3 linked regions of the Saccharomyces cerevisiae S288C genome follow. The protein of the gene in region 1 interacts with the protein of each later gene in a biochemical or structural test. Each region holds a gene or a part of one and is shown in the gene's direction. Other genes may lie near its edges.

The links. Proteins that work in one complex are often made in the same cells at the same time.
Region 2: the proteins of PEX12 (region 1) and PEX4 form a complex in vitro, tested with the Saccharomyces cerevisiae proteins (3 studies listed by BioGRID).
Region 3: the proteins of PEX12 (region 1) and PEX10 form a complex in vitro, tested with the Saccharomyces cerevisiae proteins (one study listed by BioGRID).

The regions. Positions count from the first base shown.
Region 1 is NC_001145.3:323,147-331,565, reverse strand, and holds PEX12 (ubiquitin-protein ligase peroxin 12), read left to right. Parts: upstream 1-6,130; coding exon 6,131-7,330; downstream 7,331-8,419. Other genes in the region: RSF1 (Rsf1p), read right to left, coding at 1-773; FAR8 (Far8p), read left to right, coding at 1,335-2,906; TAP42 (Tap42p), read right to left, coding at 2,984-4,084; YMR027W (putative methyltransferase), read right to left, coding at 4,277-5,689; CSI1 (Csi1p), read right to left, coding at 7,379-8,266. UniProt on the Saccharomyces cerevisiae protein: Component of a retrotranslocation channel required for peroxisome organization by mediating export of the PEX5 receptor from peroxisomes to the cytosol, thereby promoting PEX5 recycling.
Region 2 is NC_001139.9:754,415-760,382, forward strand, and holds PEX4 (E2 ubiquitin-protein ligase peroxin 4), read left to right. Parts: upstream 1-2,481; coding exon 2,482-3,033; downstream 3,034-5,968. Other genes in the region: FHN1 (Fhn1p), read left to right, coding at 312-836; prohibitin subunit PHB1, read right to left, coding at 1,175-2,038; CCR4-NOT core subunit CAF130, read left to right, coding at 3,356-5,968. UniProt on the Saccharomyces cerevisiae protein: Catalyzes the covalent attachment of ubiquitin to other proteins. Essential for peroxisome biogenesis. Required for UBC4-independent ubiquitination of PEX5.
Region 3 is NC_001136.10:996,127-1,002,812, forward strand, and holds PEX10 (ubiquitin-protein ligase peroxin 10), read left to right. Parts: upstream 1-2,737; coding exon 2,738-3,751; downstream 3,752-6,686. Other genes in the region: palmitoyltransferase AKR1, read right to left, coding at 1-2,197; E3 ubiquitin-protein ligase HEL2, read right to left, coding at 3,978-5,897; iron-sulfur cluster assembly protein CIA1, read right to left, coding at 6,384-6,686. UniProt on the Saccharomyces cerevisiae protein: E3 ubiquitin-protein ligase component of a retrotranslocation channel required for peroxisome organization by mediating export of the PEX5 receptor from peroxisomes to the cytosol, thereby promoting PEX5 recycling.

The DNA.
Region 1 (8,419 bases):
AATTTGGCATCTGGTTCAACAAGTAAATCACGCATCAATCTAGATTGATAGTCATAGCATTCCTGGAAAAGTGGAGAATTATGATCAAAAAATTCGGTAAAATTATTTGGTGTTAGCTGGACATCGTGAACTTTACTCAAATGTCTTTGATACTTTCTAGAACCATGCTTCTCTCTACTGTTCTTATCTTTCCATATCATTTCTTGATTGCAAATTCGCTTGGTTCTACGGTCATAAAATTGGCAATATGTGTTGATAGTTAGAGGTGATTTAGCAAATAATAGTTTAGATAGATGGTTTCCCTTAATATCTCTTCTCTTGGGAATGGGAAGCTCCAAAGTTTTCATAATGTCTGATCTAAAATTTAGTGTTTCTGAAGACAGTAGCTGCATATTATTCTCTATGAAATCTACCACTTGTTGCTGTTGCCGTTGAACTGCATATTTAGAATCCTTTGTGCTATTCGATTCAATAGTTCCCAGAGGAAGCGACTCATCATGAGTAACGTTGACAGGAGATGACTTGGCAGATACGGTAGCAGAAGAAAAATCTGGCGAGAAGTTCTCTTTTTGCAAATAATCCGGTACCATATTCATATTAAGTATCCTTGGAGTTTCCATCTTGTTGGGCGCCAGATACATCTCCTCACGAGGAGTCCCACTACGGTTGGCAGGAAAATTAGGCAGTGTCGCTATATCAACCATGCCTCTATTGTCTTGAGGAGGGCCTTTAGTGGTAGCAAATTTCCCCATTTCTGGATTTAGGTCCTTCATAACTGCTTGTAGTTCTATCTCCTTGTTTTCGAATAGCTTCTCAGAAAGTAAAAAAAAGGATAATATTACAGTTTTTGATCTACAGAGTCCCTTTTTGTACCCCTCCACTCAAATCGTTCTGATACGTACGTCTCTAGGTGTCAGATGATGGAGTAACTTGCAGATGTTTTACATGCGTTTCTTTTGGTTTACGCGATAATAGTTCCTTATTAAATGTCAAGAAAGTGCTAGTTGCTTCAGTTGTTTTAAGATTGATCTCCACTCTCTGCGTCTTCACATGCGCGGGACAACTTTACAGGAAAACAAGGTTTAAGAGATAACCTATTCGGGTTTTACGTAGGATGATCTATTATAGTCTATTCAGTTTTTACTGCTGCACCATCCCCTAGGCTTCTTTGTTGGGATATGGTATAGTACTCTATTGGTCTTAACTTTGCGATCTTCCCCGTCGCGTAATCTTAGATAAAAGCCACCTAGAACGACTAAATGTGAGGAGCAAGCAACAACATTAATAAAGAAACCCAAAAGAAGTAAGTGCGTGTAGTTAGACCGGAAAACAATATGGCTATTAACCAGGCACATGTTCATCCGCATTACACGTTACCTGGTGTAATGCACTACTTGCAAACGGAGTTCACGAAGAATGAAAGAGATAGAATCACCTGGGAGCTAGAAAGGTCGGAAATGAAAGCAAGAATTGCAGAACTAGAGGGCGAAAATAGAGATTTGAAGCATCAATTGAATCAAATACAATCGAAAGCTGTTTCTCCTGAAGGTGAAAAGGAAGAAAAACATGTGCCTGATTCATTACTGCAGTCTAAGCTAGCTGTTCAAGAAAATGTGAAGGAAATAATTTATTTGTTGAAAGGCCCTAACACGGTCAATCAGTTAGAGTCATTAAATAGCAGAGAAGCGGGTTCTGAATTGCACGATTTAGAGAAACTGAACGTGAATACTCCCAAGGAAGAGGGCAGTGCGAAGACAAATGGGATGGATATTTTAAATAATGCCCTCTTGGACACCAAACCCAATCCAAAGCAAGGTCCTTCAGAGTCACCATCACCAACCAAAGTGAAATCTTTGTTTAGCACAGCCAACAAGCGTGAAAATAATGAAACAATATCCAAGATACACTCGGAATTGTCGAAAGTCGACATTATCAGCTCCTACGGGGACTGTATGGCACTTTATGATGCAGACACCAAATCGTTAGAAATACACCAAGTGGACGCAAACTTGAATTCCAAACTCTTAAAGAAAATATCTTTAGGGCAAGATAGCGACATTATGAAATTTTTCTGGGTTTCGACGTCCAAACTCCTTGTTATTGAAAAGAGTTTCCATTTGAAATTGTTCTCTATTTCTAGCGCATCTTTGATCTCAGATGTGGACCTATTACAAGACTCAGAACAGCCGTTTTCGTCTAGTGATATCATTAATATAGACTTCAAAAATAAATGGTTGTTGATAGCTAGTAAGAATAAATCTCAAATTAGAATCTGGGAATTGGACAATATAGAGGCTCCTGAGGATGTCCCAATTAACATAAAAGAAACATATGAAATAACACATGATAATGATGACGATGATAGTAATGATTCCACAAACATTCTGGATTGTATATTGGGTATAACAGAAAAATCCTTAATATTACTGTCTTCAAATCCATACCAGCTTACCATATATGATTTCGAGGGTAAGCTTCTACAAAAAATTGATTTGAAGATTGATACAATATTATCGGGTAAGCCAGAAGAAGAAGGTTACCATTTATTTTTGGATAGAAAAACTTCTAAGCTACTGATTCAGCTAAGCAATGAGAGATTATTGGTTTATTCTTTTGATAAGAAAAAAGTTGTACTGAAGGAACAATTGACTCCATCGTCAACACTACCAATACAACTCGATTTGAACGACAGCATAATCACCGTATCATATAGTAATGGAGACTTTGAGTTTAGGAATTTAGAAAACCTAAAACCATCCATCGACGAATTTGTCGTAGCAGACATCAACTTCTCGGAAAGAAAAGAGCCTGTGGTATTTTCTTCAAATCTGATTGTAGATTCTACGCCGGTGTTAATCACCGTGAATAAAAATAACGAAGTCCTTTTGCACAAGATTAAAATATAACTGATGTAGGCAGAAAAAAAAATAATATATGAATCTGTCTAATAGATACTTATGTGTACGTATATAGGTATTTTTTTCTATCCTCTATTCATGGTATTTCCGCTTCCCTTAGCATGACTTTCCTTGAACTCGTCCCACTCACGAGCTTTATAGGTTTCTCTATCTTGCCAGTCCATGTTTTCTTCATCTGGTGCTTGCTCTGGTTCTTCGCCACCTTGAAGAACGCGACCTTCTTCAAACTCTTTATCTAAAAATTCCTCCACCGACATTGTTGGTCCATATTGACCATATCCTCGCACTTTTTGTTGCAGTTGTTGCCTTTTGTCGACAAGCGTGAAGTTCCTCAAGACTTGACCTTTTTTGTCTATCAATGGCTTATTTATATTCTCTAATTTATCGGTAAAACCAGTGGAATCATCATCATTCGATTCTTTTCGTATCTGAGTACCTGATGATTTGACTTCATGTACGGAATTTTTGAGGAAATTAGAGAGCATTTCACATTCAAATAAATTCTGTTCAATGTTGTTAATCGTATCAAGACTAAAGTGATGTAACCTCATCAAATATAGTTCTCTTAGTAATTCATCATGGTCGTGGTCCTCGTCGTTGTTTTTTAATTCCAACTCCAAGCAGTGCAGTTTTGTGCTAATTTCTTTATTGCGCTGGAATAGCTCAATCTTTTCTTTTCTCTTCAACTGTGCTCCAGATAAATCTTTGTTATTTTTTGGTTGCGCGTACAATTCGCTAAGCTGAGGGTTATAACGATCCTTGAAGTTACCTAGTTTTTCACCAACCAAAGGATCTAGAAGCTTATAATCCTGCAATAGTGTCAGGAAATTAATGAAAGATTCAACGCTTTTTTTCAGGTAAATCAATTTCATAGACTGCCTTTGAGCAACATCCGAATCATTCGACTGTCGTCTTGATATCAATAATCCTAAATAGTAATCAACTGCTAGAAATTTGATGGAAGCAGTAGACACATCATCAATGGTCTCATTAGTACTGAACAATGCCAACCTGTCAAAAATTGCTGTTTTTAAGTTTAATAATTTCTTGATCGTGGAAAGTAATAATCCCTGGTACTCTGGTGAATCTTGCCTCAAAGATGTGTGTTCCAATTTTGTTGAGTATAAGCTAATAATATCGTTGAATTGTTCTGTTACTGACGCCATGTTTATGATCTCTCCTCGTTATTACTTTCTTCCTCTTCTTTCGCCATTGATTGTAATTTGTCCTTAGGAGCTTTCTTTTTTTTATCAGAAGTACATAAAATAAAAGGCACGTACTAAAAATCTATGTGCTTTTTTGGAACATTTCATAGGGAAAGTCATAAAGTAAAGTTATATAGAGAACTTATCATATTCTTATTTATGTATACCAGAGCAGAAACAAATGACTGCCCATTTACCGCTACAACACCACCAAGAACCACGGCCAGGATTTTCCTTTTCCCATTCTTGACTTAATTTCGCGTCTAGACCTTCAGGTAAAGCAACTTGTACATCGGCTTTACAGGTTCTCAAGCTCAATGATGTAATACCATTCGTAGCAAGAGGTCCGATAGCCGTTTCCCATTTAGTGGTGCGGGGCCATTTTCTGTCGCCAGTTAATTTTCTATAGTTTAGATCACCCTTAAAAATAACCAAATTGGATTTTTGCAAATCTTTGTGCAAAATGGATCCATGGTATTTGGTTTCGTTTGCGTCCAAATTCCAATAATCTAATTCCGTGGTCCAGAAAGAATCTTCGCGGAATTCTATCTTACCGCTAGAGACGAACTTTTCCATTTCACCAGCAAATAAATCAAGAGCTCTGGATTCCTTTGTCGAGGGTTCACCACTTGGGAAGAACTCACGATCTCTCAGGTCATGAACTAATATATCAAAATCTTTTAACATAACATCGCTAACCATGTATGGAATGTCTTTAGCGTGGAAAATACATTTGGTAGCCAAACCACTTTGTAACAGAAAAGCTGCCAACATCAAGTCAGCATACAATTCAAAGCCAGAATTGTCTAATACAAAATCAACACGAATTTCTCTGCTATTGGCATCGGCCCTGGCTTTGGTTAATACCTCCCATGCTTTCTCCGTGTCATTAACAACAATCTTGGACTCGGATGCAGCTCTTGCTTTCGCCCCTTGGATTGATTTAATGTCTTCTAACGTAGCGTTGGTCAATAAAGATAAATCAGTGGCATTGCCCCACAAAGAAATCTCAATAAACTCTTTAAAAAGAACTTTCAATATATCGTCAATCTCATTTCCTGGATTTTGCTTCATTTCTCTCAGCTGTGGTAACAGATTTTCATACCTTAACGCCAATTCCACGACACCATAAAACGAGGACTCAAAAGTTGACTGTTTAAGTCTGTTGAATATGTCAAATTTAGCCCATTCGCATTGGCGTTGGAAAAGAACATTTACTCTTCTATACAAGTAAACCTCCGAGAACAGCCACTCTACAGCCCCCCAATTGACTTCAGGGTGTTTCTTTAGATATTCATTGAACGAAAGCGGGACGTTGGCAATTTTGATCTCTTCTTCAGTAAAGGGTCTCAAAGGTACACGATCAATTATCTCCTGACGGAATTCCTTGAGCTCCTTTTTGATAACTTCACCTTGTTCGAACTTAGTGCCGTTACTCTTCTCCGTTTCTTGATGCTTACTTAAATCGTCTATAGCATTCTGAATGATAATGGGCCAACGGGTGCTAGCAGTGTATTCACCAAAAGTGCCCTTATCAATTGTCATAAATCTTCCAGGGATAGTCATCTCTTGTTATGTACTACCCACTACCGTAATATCCTTTTTTTCCGTTTACACAAGGACCACAATGAACCACTAAATTTTAAAGAGTTCAAATGAAGTTTTATTCTTTTAATATGAAGGGAATAGTTGTATTTCTACTTCCGGGCAGTTATACTATCACGTTGCACCTGGGGCCTCTATGTCTGAGAGGTGTGTGGGTTATACTAAGAAATCATCGATGTGGACGATTACCGTCACTGGCAATGGTAACCTCCAATTCAGTCACTGGAGAAGAGAGGTACAATTTAGTGTGGAGTCATCCTTTCGTCTCATTCAGATGCTTAAGAGCAATGCTTACCGCAGAATCACATTAGGTAGAGAAACGGTTTTGCATGAAGGCTCCAGAAGAAGCAAGGGAATAAGCAGGGAAAATAAAGCAAAGGAAAGGAAGGTAGTCGTCAAGTGATGAGCTTTTATTCAAACCTACCGTCTGCAGGACAATCTAGTCGAGGGTCTTCAACAAGCGGTCGAAATGGGGTGGGATTAGAACCATTGTATCCGACTATCTTTGAGATAATGTCATCACAAGAAATCGATTCGTTACTGCCCGCATCCATCCGTTATCTACTGGCAAATCATTTAGTGGCGAACTTCCCTAACAGGTATACTTTGCGGCTGAACAAGTACTTTTTTGAGTGGTTTCAAGCGATAAAAGGGTTTGTTGAATGGTATCATCTAAAGACATACAATTCTACGTTTATTGATCGGTTTTATGGATTGCAACTATTTAGTTCGAGGGACAGAAATCTTGCCTTAACACAATGTTTAAATCCAAAGGGCCAGAGTGAATGGCCCCAAGGTTTGCAGCTGAATCAACAGCAAAAGAGTGTTATTTTTTTGGAAAAAATTATTCTCCCCTATATCACAGCGAAGTTGGATGAAATATTAGAGAAAATATCAATGAATAATATATTCAGCAGCGATGAAACTGAAAATAAATGGCCCAAGAGAGCGTTTCTAAGAATTTATCCATTTATTAAGAAATTATTAGCGTTATCCAATTTACTCGTTAAATTATTATTTTTAACTAAAAGAACAGGGTCGGTTTCCTTGTTGCAATACTTATTCAAGATAGAGTACACAACGGTAAGACCACTATCGTCAGAACTCTCTGGTCTCAAAGAGACGAAAGGGATGGATAATAGGCTAAGGAAAACAAATATATCGTCAATTTTCGCGCTAATGCAAGGACAATTATCGATTATACCCAGATTTTTAACATTTATGGGTTCGCAATTCTTCCCCACTTTTATATTTGTCCTAAGAGTGTACCAATGGTGGACCACACAAGACATGACTACTAAATTGCAGAAAAGGGTCAATGACTTGGATGAAGATATTCCAAGGCCGCCTTTCTCCTCACATAGTGACAAAACGGAAGATAAAGAGGGAGTTTCTGAGGCCTGTCCCGTTTGCGAAAAAACTGTACAAAACCCCTGTGTATTGGAAACAGGATACGTGGCATGCTACCCGTGTGCCATAAGCTATTTGGTTAATAATGAAGGCCATTGTCCCGTTACCAATAAAAAGCTGCTGGGTTGTACATACAACAAACACACGAATAAATGGGAAGTTGTGACAGGTATTAGGAAGCTACTAATCTGATGACGGAGGAAGTGAAGAAAATAATTCTGTGTAATATATATATTCTAGTTATTTTTTTAACATATTTGAAATTTCCCATTGTTTACACGAAATTTCTAATAATTTTATTTCATTAATTTTGTTATCCAGCAGGTAATTCATGTCACTTGTTCCACCTCTTTGCAGTTGTGTTACAAGCATTGATATTTTTCGAAGTATTACATCTTGCGTGGAAGAGAAAGGCTTGTCAGTGGCATCATAATTTTTCAAGAATATTATCATTCGATTAATCTTCTCGAGTAATTTTCTTATGGTATTATTATTATATTTTTGAATATTGATTTCTTTATCCTTCATGTCAATTAATTGAAACTCATCAAAACCTGGGTCTACGGTATTATTAGGTGTGGGAATTTGGTATCTGTCATTTACATCCTTAATTTGCACTTTATCTTGTAGAAAATCAAGGATAATTTCCGCGCCTATCTGTACACTATTTTCAATTTTATAACCCTTTAAACTATTGACAGCTTCTTGGAAGGAGGTATGTTGGCGAAACACGTTATATTTTATCAGATATTTCAATGCCAAGGCGGTCAATTGGGTGAGCACTTTCTCCGTCACTTTATTAGTGATATTTTCGTCCTCTTCTAACTGACATAAATCAAGAATACCCAGTATACAAATGTCCTTTTGAGTCACTTTTGTTAGGTTAATTCTCCTTTCTAGGCGTTCTTGATTTATTTTATCATTTTCCTGCATCGGGATTCGTATAACTTTTTCAATATACCATTGAGACTCTGCTTCATTACCATTTATTGGGATGTAAATTTCATCATCTTGATCCAATTTGCAACCTATCAATAAAAACCAAGAGTGGTCTATCGAGTCAAACGATGACTCGTGCAGGAAGTTAATTTCTGATATAGCTAGAGAACTGAATTTTAGGAGGTCCATTTACCCTATATTACTTTGCTTTGTGTTATTATCCCCTCACAAATGTGCGTTCTCTTTAAATATAGCAAGTCTTTTTTTTTTTTGTCTGTTTCCTGGTAAGATATAGTAGTAAACAAGGAACATGCTTCTGTTCACTTTTATATATTTTAGTAC
Region 2 (5,968 bases), on another chromosome or scaffold:
ATTGTGCCGGCAGAATGTCGCGCTTGTATTCTCATGAACTTTTCCTCTTTACGAACCCTTTGGCGGCATGCCGTTTAAAATCTGTTGAAGATTTCCTTTACGAACAATGAGCAATGTTTTGCACAGGCAGGTGGGAAGTAGGGCCTATCGCGCCTTGGATGCAGATATAAGTATAAATATAAATTATAATAATTGGCTGTATCAGTAAATCCTTCTTGCGATGGGAGGAAGCACGATAGAGTATGTTAAGCTTTTGAGAGGCTTCATATTCATTGGAATTTTAAATAACAATAAAGCAACAACAATAATAAATGCTATCAGCTGCAGATAATTTAGTGCGCATCATAAATGCTGTTTTTCTTATTATATCCATAGGTCTAATCAGCGGCCTGATAGGTACACAGACAAAGCATAGTTCTCGAGTGAACTTTTGTATGTTTGCCGCCGTTTATGGTCTGGTTACGGATTCATTATATGGGTTTTTGGCTAATTTCTGGACATCATTAACATACCCAGCAATTTTGCTTGTTTTGGATTTTTTAAATTTCATATTTACGTTTGTAGCAGCCACCGCTTTGGCTGTAGGTATAAGATGCCATTCGTGTAAAAACAAAACATATCTGGAACAGAATAAGATCATACAAGGCTCAAGCTCCAGATGTCATCAATCTCAGGCTGCTGTTGCGTTTTTTTACTTTTCCTGTTTTCTATTCCTCATCAAAGTGACTGTGGCCACGATGGGTATGATGCAAAATGGTGGATTTGGCTCTAATACCGGATTCAGCAGAAGGAGGGCAAGAAGACAAATGGGCATACCTACAATTTCCCAGGTTTAAGCCTACTGGACTGAAAAAAAGGCAATTCGCGTACAATTTTCGTTGATCGTTCTTTATATAACCTTTGCATTAAATAAATTTAACAAAAAAAGTTCTTTCTAAAATAATATTATGGTGATACATGAATGTGCTTTAGTTTTTTCGTAGGCTCATCCATGTATATATATAAATGATAAAAAACTAAGTTACGATATTGATAGCATACGTATTCGTGTTGGTAACTAAATGGAAAGATGGAATATGTTATTGGCGTTGTTATCCCCCATATATACAGGTTTCTAATATGATTAAAAAAAAATTTTCTCCCCTAGTTTATTGTGTTCATAGCTTTTCCAGACTTAACGGCCAATGTTCAAAAGCAAGGAATTTGGTGATCCCGAAGACTCGCTGTTACCACCACCAGAATGTTGACTTGGTAAATAGACAACGTTAGATGAGTTTGCTAATGTTTGAGCGATGTCCTTAGAAGCTTCTAATCTTCTAATCAATAACAGACCATCACCAACTTTAGCTAAGGCTTTTGAAATGAATTCAGCACTTTCTGCTTCACCTTCAGCTCTGATAACAGAAGCTTGTCTCTCTTGCTCTGCCTTTTCGACAAGGAATTTGGCTCTTTCGGCATCTTGCTGTGCAATCTGCTTCTGCTCAACTGCTTTCGTGAATTCGGGACCAAACGTCATATGAGTGATAGAGACATCTTCCAACTTAATACCGAATTCGTTGGCCCTCGTAGAAAGCTCTTTTCTGATTTTTTGAGAAATAATTTCTCTCTGAGTAATTAACTCAGCAGCATCAAATTGAGCTACTATAGACTTTAAAACCTCATTGCCGATAGATGGTAACACTCTTTCGTCGTAATCGAGACCCAAATTTTGGTATATTGCGGGTAGCTGTAAGACCTCTGGTCTATGTAAGACTCTCAAGGTCAATGACACCATTTGCAAATCCTTCGTACCAGTATTGGTAGCAATGCTCTTTGGTTTCGTCCTCACATCGTATATGATCGCCTTCTGTAGCCAAGGCACCAAGAAATGAGTGCCTTCACCCACAACCTGTTGCTTTACACCATTGATTCTGTCGAAAATAACACCACGAGAACCACCCTTCACATCATACATGGAGTACTGAATCCCGCTAGCAATTATACCAATGGGCAACGCCACCTTGGTGATGACATCGATAAGTTTGGCAGAATTAGACATTCTTTTCTAAAGTAAATTATTGATTTTGAATGTAAGTTTCGTACCGTTGATGGTTGGTTTACCGATTTATTTTTTTTCCTCTTCTTTCTGCTTAATATTATATACCTCAACCGTTGCATCCATGAGATCGTCAAACTCCCTTTCCCTGAAATTTATTGATGCGATACATTCGCGTTACCCGTATCATCATGAAGACGAGTTTATTCTCATCAGTGTTGATCTCTCATACTTGAATAACTCATTTGCAATGGTCTAAGACTCCAACTATGTAGTCATAGTCATTCACTGAAGTTTCTCTTTTCGAAATCCTGAACGGAAGCGGAATATATGTGGTATATATCGCATATTACTGCTTCACAGCATGCAGCGCAGACTGGCCGGGTTATGCTGCCACTTACTGGAGACAACATAAAATATACATAATCATCGCCTTTATACATAATATGCCAAACTTCTGGATTCTTGAGAATCGTAGGAGCTATACGTCTGATACATGTATGTCGAGGATCGTGAAGGAGTACAAAGTCATACTGAAAACATTGGCCAGTGATGACCCCATAGCGAACCCCTACCGGGGGATAATCGAGTCACTTAACCCGATTGACGAAACCGACTTGAGCAAGTGGGAAGCTATAATTTCTGGGCCGTCAGACACACCTTATGAAAATCATCAGTTTCGAATACTAATAGAAGTCCCTAGTTCCTACCCCATGAATCCACCAAAGATAAGTTTTATGCAGAACAATATTTTGCACTGCAATGTTAAATCAGCCACAGGAGAAATATGTCTGAACATCCTTAAACCAGAGGAGTGGACTCCTGTATGGGATTTGTTACACTGTGTTCATGCTGTTTGGAGACTCCTAAGGGAACCCGTTTGTGATTCTCCACTTGACGTAGACATTGGTAATATCATCCGCTGTGGCGATATGAGTGCCTATCAGGGGATTGTAAAGTACTTCCTAGCAGAAAGAGAGCGGATCAACAACCATTGATACCACGTAGGATGGATGTGTTCGAATGGCAAACAATGGGCCCTCACTTTTATCTGATGCAATTTCTACCTTACCCGGGCAGCGCCAATTTATGAATACAAATACTTTAACAAATTGCACTATTGATGTATTGACACATTTGTATATACATATACATATATTAATAAGGAGCACGAATTTTTGACAAGTAGTGCACGCAATATCTACATTAGTTAGCTTTTCCATTGACGCTGAATTTTATTTTGGCAGCCCAGTAGATCGTTGAGGAGCTTTTTTCAAACACTTTTTCTCTCTTAACTCCACATACTTACGTAAGAAAGTGATGACGAAAAAGAAAGCAGCTACTAATTATGCTGAAAGGCAAAATTTAGCCAGTGAAGATTCTTCAGGTGATTCGGTTCATTTTAAGGACTTTATTCCCTTACAAGAGTTACTGAAAGATAAAAATTATGTTCCATCGGTGGAAAATTTGGAGAAGATCTTATATAATGAAACCATGTTTAATGATCAGAAAATATGCTCTAACCTATTGCTTGAGGCTCTCATAATTACGTTGTTCACAACAATTTCAGGGAAGTCAGCTTTACGATTAATTCAGACTTCTTCTTTGAAGGAAAGAAAATCCTGGGCCCAGTCCTTTGAAAATAACAGTTCTAGCTATGCTTCCATAGTACTGAGTTGGAAAGATAATGATATATTACTCCTGAAATTCTTAAGGTTTTTATTAGCAAATAAAACGGCCCCTCTTCAAATTAATCGGTACAATCTTCCAGAATACAAACTCCCGTTGAGCTTTTTAATTGTTTCAAAAATTACTATTCCGTCCATATTACTCAATGAAACGTATAATTTGTTAAAGGACTATTTGTATTCGATAACTGGCCGTATAGAGAGTTTGATAAGCTGCAGCTCCACATTTGATAAGCCAGCACTTGTCGTTAGAAAAATTTTAAAAGATTACAATAGAATGATAGAATGCCGAAATTTTTATTTCTGGTATTCCTTTAATGCTGAGAACAGAGTAAATCTTACTTTTAGTGATAACATTAGCCTGTTAATGGAAAATGATGAAGGCAATGCTGGAAGTGGCCTTGACGATAGCCGTTTTGATCATCAAAAACAACCGAGAGAGGCGATAATGGGCCGAACAATAAATGACCAGGAACAAATATATTCATTCGAACTGAACCAAGATGGAACGCTTGAAATACCCAACGTTATGGAGCATTCTTTACTAAGACACGAGCTTCTTTTTAAAATATTAAATCTCACTACGGTATTGACGCCATTATTGGAACTACAATTTTCTACGCTATGTGGCTTAGTAGATCCATTAATGCAGCCTACTCCCAATGATAAGCATATTATATCGATAGACTTTCTTTTTCAGCTTTTTTTGGGATTAATGTCTCAGTCGATCAAGACTTCTCAAGAACACAACGACCATTATGACTGGAAATTTTATATGTGTTTTAACATGCAAAAAATTATTGATGCTACCATGTTGAGGCTCAACTGCTTTGATTTTGATATATTAAACTCGGTAAACAATACAGATAATGCAGTTCATTGGAAGACGCAACTTCACAGATGGCTACCGCATGGCCTGAATACACAAGACTTGGAATTACTCTATATGATTGATATACTGGCGGTATATACCATCTACAAGTTGTATGAAAAAATACCTATACAACTAAACCCATTTTTATTTTCATTAATATCCTTATGGAAAAACCTCTCCTGTGTTATACTTTTAGCCTTAGAAATTGATAGAATTGAAGAGGAGAATGGCACTTACGAAACGCCGCTTATGGTTCGCGCCACAATTCGTGGAGCCGCAGCATTGAGGTCTGTAATAGCTACCGTTCTCAATGGATTAGTGAAAAATAATGATCATGATTTCAAGCACGAGTCTTTAAACACATTCATGTCGCCCTATGGAAGAAAATTGTGTCATGGTGCTTTATATGCCGATTTAAGGTCACATACTGCATCTCTACTTGCGCTTGGAGCAAGCATCGAAGATGTAACAGATTTATTTGCCGATTTACAGTCAGGTGATAGATTTGATGAGGATATTAGATATATGTTTGATTATGAATGTGAAGATTATGATGAATCTTTCTCTGAAAGCGATCATGGAGGATTGGATGAAAGCGTTGTTAACCCAACAGAAAAAATAGCATCTGGTAGTAATAATGTTTTCTTTCGGAGACGGTGCAATTGCATCTTCAATGATGATAAGTTGGTGGCAGAGGATGGTGCAAATGAAGCCTTTGGGTCAACAAATAGCGAAAACGTTGAAGGCGCAATGCATAATAATAGGAATGCGGTACATAACGCGACTACAGCCACTTCTGATCACGTCGTTACGTCACCTAACCCACTTTCCGTTAGATCAAGAAGTACTTTTGAATTTGACTATAGTGGGGAAGATTGGAGGGACGTTCCCAGAGATTTCAATATGTACTATTCGCCATCTTATTCATTCATCCATGAGCCTAAGTTAGATGTCATATTTAGTTTGACTCTACGTGGCGCAACAGAAAAGTTGAATAAGGAGGAATCCATATTGTTAGTGCGTTCAGTTGCATCGTGTGTAAGGAACGAGCAGGACCAAATGATTTTAGCAGACCTGGAGTCTAATTTTTCCGCAAGTATAAACGGCGATGTAGAAGGTGAAGGAAATACCAAAATGTCCAAGATAGATAATGAAGATCTCAGAAGAACCACGCCGGATGATATTTATGAAATATGGTCTGAAGAATCAGCATTTGAAAGGATGCTAAACGTGAATCACGACGTTGCGTGGAGATTAATGGATGAAATGTTAATGTGCACCGGTTATAGGAGAATATTGATATGGTTCCTTACGCATTTGGAGTTAAAACATTCGTTGATATATTACGTTTTTGAACTAATAATGGGGTTA
Region 3 (6,686 bases), on another chromosome or scaffold:
AAGGAGGATACAAAATTCGCCTCCACAAAGGCGCATTTATATCGCTTGTAAGCCAAAAGTCTTTAACATTTCTTTTCCAACCGTAATTTGTTGGTATTCTTGATGTAATCGAATACACATTATGTCCGGTGCTATCCTTGATGCCAATGGTTTCTTTTATAACCGCTAACCACTGATCCATACCAGTCACCGCGTAACAAACGCCAAAACAAGTGCGTGGTTTCCTTATCGTTGAGCCTGGGACTGGTGCTAGTACAGTATCATTACTCTCCTCACCCGGATCAATCGACGGCGCAAATCCTTCTGGAGTAGTATTGAAGTTTTCATTGAAAGATAACCCATCGGGGCCAATGGACTTACTCTCTTTCATCAAAACATTGAATTCTGTATTGGTCATTCCTTTACATATTTGAAAGGCTTGGACGAAGATCAAACTTGCAACCCAAATAGATTGGAGTAAAGCCCATAATAATATCAGAAAGACAAATCTATCATATATTAATCCCGAACAGAGATCTGAAGCGCCTAGGATGAAACATTTGCCATTTTTCTGGGATGTATCTTCGTGTGCATCTTCAAGTTCATCAAAATATTCCAGGCAAAGTGCAAGAAATGTGAAAATACCACTTTCCATTAATGTAATAAAAAATATAAATGCTTTGTGATTTTTGAGTCCGACATCATTAAAGATCCAAGGGCAGTAATGATCAAATCTTGCAACCACAGCATTGTTTAAGGGCGAAAATTTGCTTCTTAGAGGTTTTCTAATCCAAGTTTCGATACAAAAGTTCTTCGTATCAAATTTACCGATTTCGAGCAAGTTCGAGATTGTTTGTCGCACGTTCTCATGATCAGTTTCTTCTGGCAAACATCCTGGGTCCATAATAACAAGCTGCCCAAAAAGGTAAAATACAGAAACAAGTATTACCAGCATTAGGATGTTAGTATATTGTTCATCAGAAAATGTTCGAGGCATAACTTTGAAAAACCAAACGATAGTCACCCAAAGTAAAGTGCCAAAAAAAACACCGGATAACAAAGGTGACCTTAACAAGGTAACGTTGTGGACACCCATTCGTCCATATGACGGCAGAACGAATTTGTTCAAGCCTTTGTTAGTGGCAATGGCCAATAAAAAAAGGACAATGATTACAAACAAAGGGTTAATATGAGAGAAAAGAGCAAATGCGATTCCTAGAAATAGAAATGGCGTTATGAATGTAACGAGCTTAGCATGTTGACTTTTTTTGAACCATTTTTTAATGGGATAACCATGGTAGTCGAATCCAGAATGTGTTAGAGCCTCTCTAAGTGAGTACACAGTGTTCATTTCTTGAGCAATAGCAAAGCAATCTTTTCCGGTATCCGTTTTTTGGAAAAAATCTGCACCATCTTGAATCAAGTATTTTAGTACATGTGGTTGCCCTTTTACAGTGCCCCAGTGCAGTGGGGTGAATCCTTCTGTATCTGCGATCTTTATGCTGGCACCAAATTTCAACAATTCTGCTACAGTTAGGGAATCTCCCTGGTAAGCAGCCCATAGTAGTGAAGTTCTGCCCTTTGGGTCTCGGCAATCTATATCTAAAAGACCTTTGCTGACAACGTTGAATAAAACGTATAGAACTAGCATTATATTTGAGCTGTTCACAGATAAGTGTAGTAGATTGAAACCTTGGTCATCGGTCATGGTGGGATCAGCTCCATGCTTAAGCAAAAAATCGACAATGTACACGTACCCATACCTTGCAGCCCAATGTAATGGTGTGGCATGCAAAGCACCAGCCCTTGCATTGACATCAGCGCCTTGTGAAACTAGAAAATCCACTACAGAAAGTCTGTTATTAATACTTGCCCAATGCAAACCAGTGATATGTTCCGTAGAGTCACCGTCGTTATTAACTTCGAGCAACTTTCCATGTATCATTTCTTTGACAGTCGCTAGATCACCTCTTTGGCAAGCGGTATGGTAGCGAGTTAACAGAGGATCTTCTTCGGCCTCATCATTATGATTCACCTGCTCGTTCCCGCTTTCCTCTTCATTTCCTGATCGGATAGCCTTTAATGATGCCAACGAAGTAATTTCGTTAGAATCACCCAGACTAATATCTTCCTGTGAGTCGTTATTGCTAGGATCAACCGTTTGCTCTTCATTCGTCAAGGTCGACGCCCGTGGCACATTCTCTAATTCGTTCACCATCAATTAGCTACTCTGAACAAAGAAGTGTTTTTTTATCTAGACGAAACGGAAATGATATATTCTACTTCGTGGTTTGTAATCTACTAATCGACCGTATATATTCCTCGCTTGCACTTGTGTCTGTACATTACTTCGTTTTATAGATCGTTCAATATGAGGGTGTAATAAGAAAGTACGAAACAATGGGCTGGCTTTATCACCCGGAGTGTAGGGTACGGATGTTTGTGATCAGAGTAACCCAATGCTAAAAGTCGTTCGGAGGAATAAGCAGCAAAACGTGAATTGATAATATTATAGGAGCCAAAGTTCTAACAATGATAACGTCTCAACAGCTACATGAGCTGTCCATATGTGCATCTTCTTGCAAGTAATCAGCCGGTTTTATCACAATTTTTACCCACCGTGATAATCTGAGAGGGCGAAGTAGGTATTAGCCGTTTACATTAGAAAAATAAGGTAGTGGTAATAAAGCACACTACACATCGAAGAAAGAAACAGACACTACTACATCGGTGGGGGGTCATACAATAGAGGACCAAAATGAAGAATGATAATAAGTTGCAAAAGGAAGCACTTATGCGACTATCGCAGCTAAGATTTCCATTTGCCGATGCTCCAAGTATAGTACAAGCGCATCAAAAAGATGAACAAATCCAGGGCCTTTTGATTATGAAAGTGACTGAATTGTGCAAATTGATAAAGAGTCAATTGTTTGTTAACTCTTACCCTAAGGAACTGTCCATATTTGCCAAGCTCCTGTATTTGCTCTTTACTACAGGAAGACGTGGTAGAACGTTAGGTGAGGAATATGTTGACTTGACATACACTAATAGGAAGGGTACCAGACTTGCAGGACGGCTCAAAATGATTGTATTCGCTTTCGCTTATCCTTTATGTCCATATTTCATCACCAAACTATACAAGAAAATAATGAAGAACAACAAGGAAAGTAAAATTGAAGATACTGAAAGTGTTGCCGCGTTTTGTAAGGGCCTTTTAGATTTCATTTTAGACGTACACATGACCCTCTTTTATTTCAAAGGAGCTTTTTACAGTATTTCCAAAAGGATTTTTGGTATGAGATATGTTTTTAAACATATATTGTCAAAAAATGAGGCCAATTTTAGAGAAGAGGGCTCACAAAAGTACAAAGTATTAGGTTATATCCTATTAGCTCAAAATGTTATGAAATGGTACCCTGTCCTAACCTCTACGCTCGGGTCCTGGATTTATGGGAGAAAAAGGACCAATGATTCAATTACTAGGTCGTCTGTTGGTCTACAGGAGCGTTCAGAACATGAATCTATAGAAGGCATACCGAAGGAATCGCAGCTGACTCATATAAATTTGTCAGATAAAAACCAATTGCCATTTATTCCAGAAGCCTCGAGAAAATGCATCCTATGTCTCATGAACATGAGTGATCCTAGCTGCGCGCCATGTGGACATCTATTTTGTTGGAGTTGTCTTATGAGCTGGTGTAAAGAGAGGCCAGAATGCCCCTTGTGCAGACAACACTGTCAACCACAGGAAATTCTGGTCCTGCGGCAATAGAGGAACTAATCAATAATTTGACTACTCTTTTAGCATTGTCCACAGGCCTTTTTCAGAAATAACGCAGACGTCTGAGCAGGAGAAGTAAAACGCGAAGGGGAAATAATGCTTTTTAGTCTTGTAATTATATTAATTAATTAAATAAGTTTTTCTTTATCGGAATTTTATTTAAGACTTTCATTTCTCTAATGCTATTGTCAGTTACAGGTTAGAAATATATTTCCAACTATACACCAATGTGGAATAACAGCTGCTTTTGTTTGCCTTTCTTTTTATTTCCTCCACTAGTTGTGTTCAATTCCCTCAAATTATCGTGCACGTTAGTATCTTGTGTGCTTGACTTTTTACCCCACTGCTTAGGATCAGCAATTTGGGGTCTGTTCAGACCTGGAATTTGCACCTTTGGCTTTGGTGGAGGTAGTTGAGGTAGGTTGAGACTTTTCAATTTATCTTTGCTATTATTTAGAGAAGTAGAAGAGGAACCCTTTTTACTTTCCAAATAGGTTGGAGAGAAGGCGACTGTATTAGTGGAAGTTCGATAACTAACTGATTGAGGTGTAGTTCTTTTAATGTTTTGCACGGGTCTCAGAGTGTTTTTTTTTACGGTGGTTGCAAAGGGATCATACGACGCTGAAGGACTTTTCAGGGTTGGAAGATTTTTGATATTCCTAACGCCTAATGCTGCACCAGCGCTGCCCCCATCGTTTGTTCCACCCCAATGGCCCCTGCCTATTGACATTGAAAGGGAAGAATCACTAGATAAAGAAGGTAGTGAAGTTTGTCGTGCAAGGGTTTGCTCTCTTTGTTCATATATGGCGTTCAGATTATTGTATTTGGAGGAGTTTTTGGGAAAGGTTTCAGCTAAGTTATGAATCAATAAATATACATCCGCATTTGGTTTTGTGAATAACAATTTATATGATTCCAATAATTTTTCAGCACTTAAGCGACCTTTAGAATAATCTTCGTTATAAGAAGAAAACTTATTGAAGTCTTCTTTGGAATTTTCCAGATAGTATTTTGCTCTTTCTGCCAATCTTAGTCTACTTTCCTCGGGAGAACTAGCAGATCTCACATCAGTTCTAGAGCCGGATGATGAACCCGGTAGGGAAGATATAGATGGAAGGTCGTAATCATCTCTTTCCCTGATCACTCTAGATGGAGCCGAGATAAAAGTAGAAAGTTCTGACTGGAAAAACTTTGGCTTTCCCTTCAGGATATTACCATGCTCCTGCAAAATGTGGGCTTGTAACTCCAACTCGTCTTTAAATACGACAAACTTGTTATCTAAGCAAGTTTGGACGGTGCAAACGTAATGCGAATGTTTAAAGTGGTCAAAAAGCTGATTATAATCCTTAAAGTATTGAGGAGAAGCGGGGTTCATCTTATCACAAATATGGCACTTTTCATGCTGATTTCTCATGTGAATGTACAATTCGTCGTCTGAATAAAATCGTTTTCCGGAACAGAAGGCACACATAGGGTGGCCTTTGAATCCTTCTGAATTACCCTTAGTTTGATGGTTGCGTAATTGATTTTGGGTGAATATTTCAAGCTCACAAGGGAATGCATGCTTATGGGTTGCACATATTAAACAGATCATTCTGTTATGTTCAGATTTCAAGTGTTCATTATATTTCTTGAAACTACCAAAGTCACAAACTTGTTCATCCTTCGATAGGGGACAAAAAAATTTTAAAAGATTTAGTGTTTCGGTAGCAACCTCTTCGCTAGTGAAATTTATTCCATATTTTTCATTTTTTTCGCAAAAGTTATATTTATCTGAAATATCACCATCTATGCGATCGGTAAACATGACTTCTTCATTCTCCGTTCTGCAAATCAAACAGCTTTTCTTGTTGTACAAAGCTCGTTGTCTGAAACCACAGATATGGCATGTCTTATGATGGCATGGTGTTAGAGATACGTATGTTAACTTGCGCGCACAAATTACACATAATTCATTTTCTTCATCAGTATCATCTGCGCTTGAAGTGGTGAGGTTGGGTTCAGCAGAAAGGTTATTTTTCTTTTGCTTTCTTCTGAAATTCTTCCTGTCGTTGTGAGGTTTTGTATTATTTTGGGGCCCTTGAGTACGACGGAAGTTACGTGTCGGAGTAACGTTTTCTTTCACTGATTCGCTCATCCTAATTCTTGAAAAGAAGTATAGCCACTATTTTTTCGACGAAAGAGACTGTATCAAAATGCACTTTATGGATCTTTTTCAGCTAGGTATGCGCTCGACGATTTGTTGAATATGGCTGAGTGGGCAGTCGTTCAGATGCCCTTTTCAAAATCTTAAGAGAAAATCAGAAAATATAGCTATTATTAAGAGTGACCGCGAGTATGAAACTTTCAGTGTAACCTTTCTTTATTCGAGATAATGCTTAATTACAAGTCTTCCGAATATCTAATTTTTTTTTTTTTCATTTTTAAATTTCAGTTTTTACCGCATGCTTTTAATGCAGGGATATGTATAACGAGGTCACTCCGTCACACATGACAGAATTGCGTTATAGTGATACAAAGGTTTATGTAACTAGGTAGAAAAATCGTCATTAAGTTTATTTTTAGAATTCAGATCGATCACTGTGTTAATATGAGTTCCTGAATTGTACTCTTGCTTCTACATCTACGCTGCTTTTTCTAGAGACCAGAAATTTACGATCCCGTCGTCACCGCCTGTTGCAAGTATAGTTTTACCATTTAACTCCAACCACTTCACAACGTTGATTTCATAAACTCCATGACATAATGCACGTTTAGCAAAAACTTTCCATTCTCCGTCTACTTCTTCATAGACCGCTAGTACTCCATCCGCTCCTACACTAGCAATGAGGCCATTAAAGCCCCATGCAACATTGTATACCTGTCTTTTGTGTACATCCGGGAGAATAGCTTCACAAACCCATTCTTGTTGATCATCCTCGTCGTC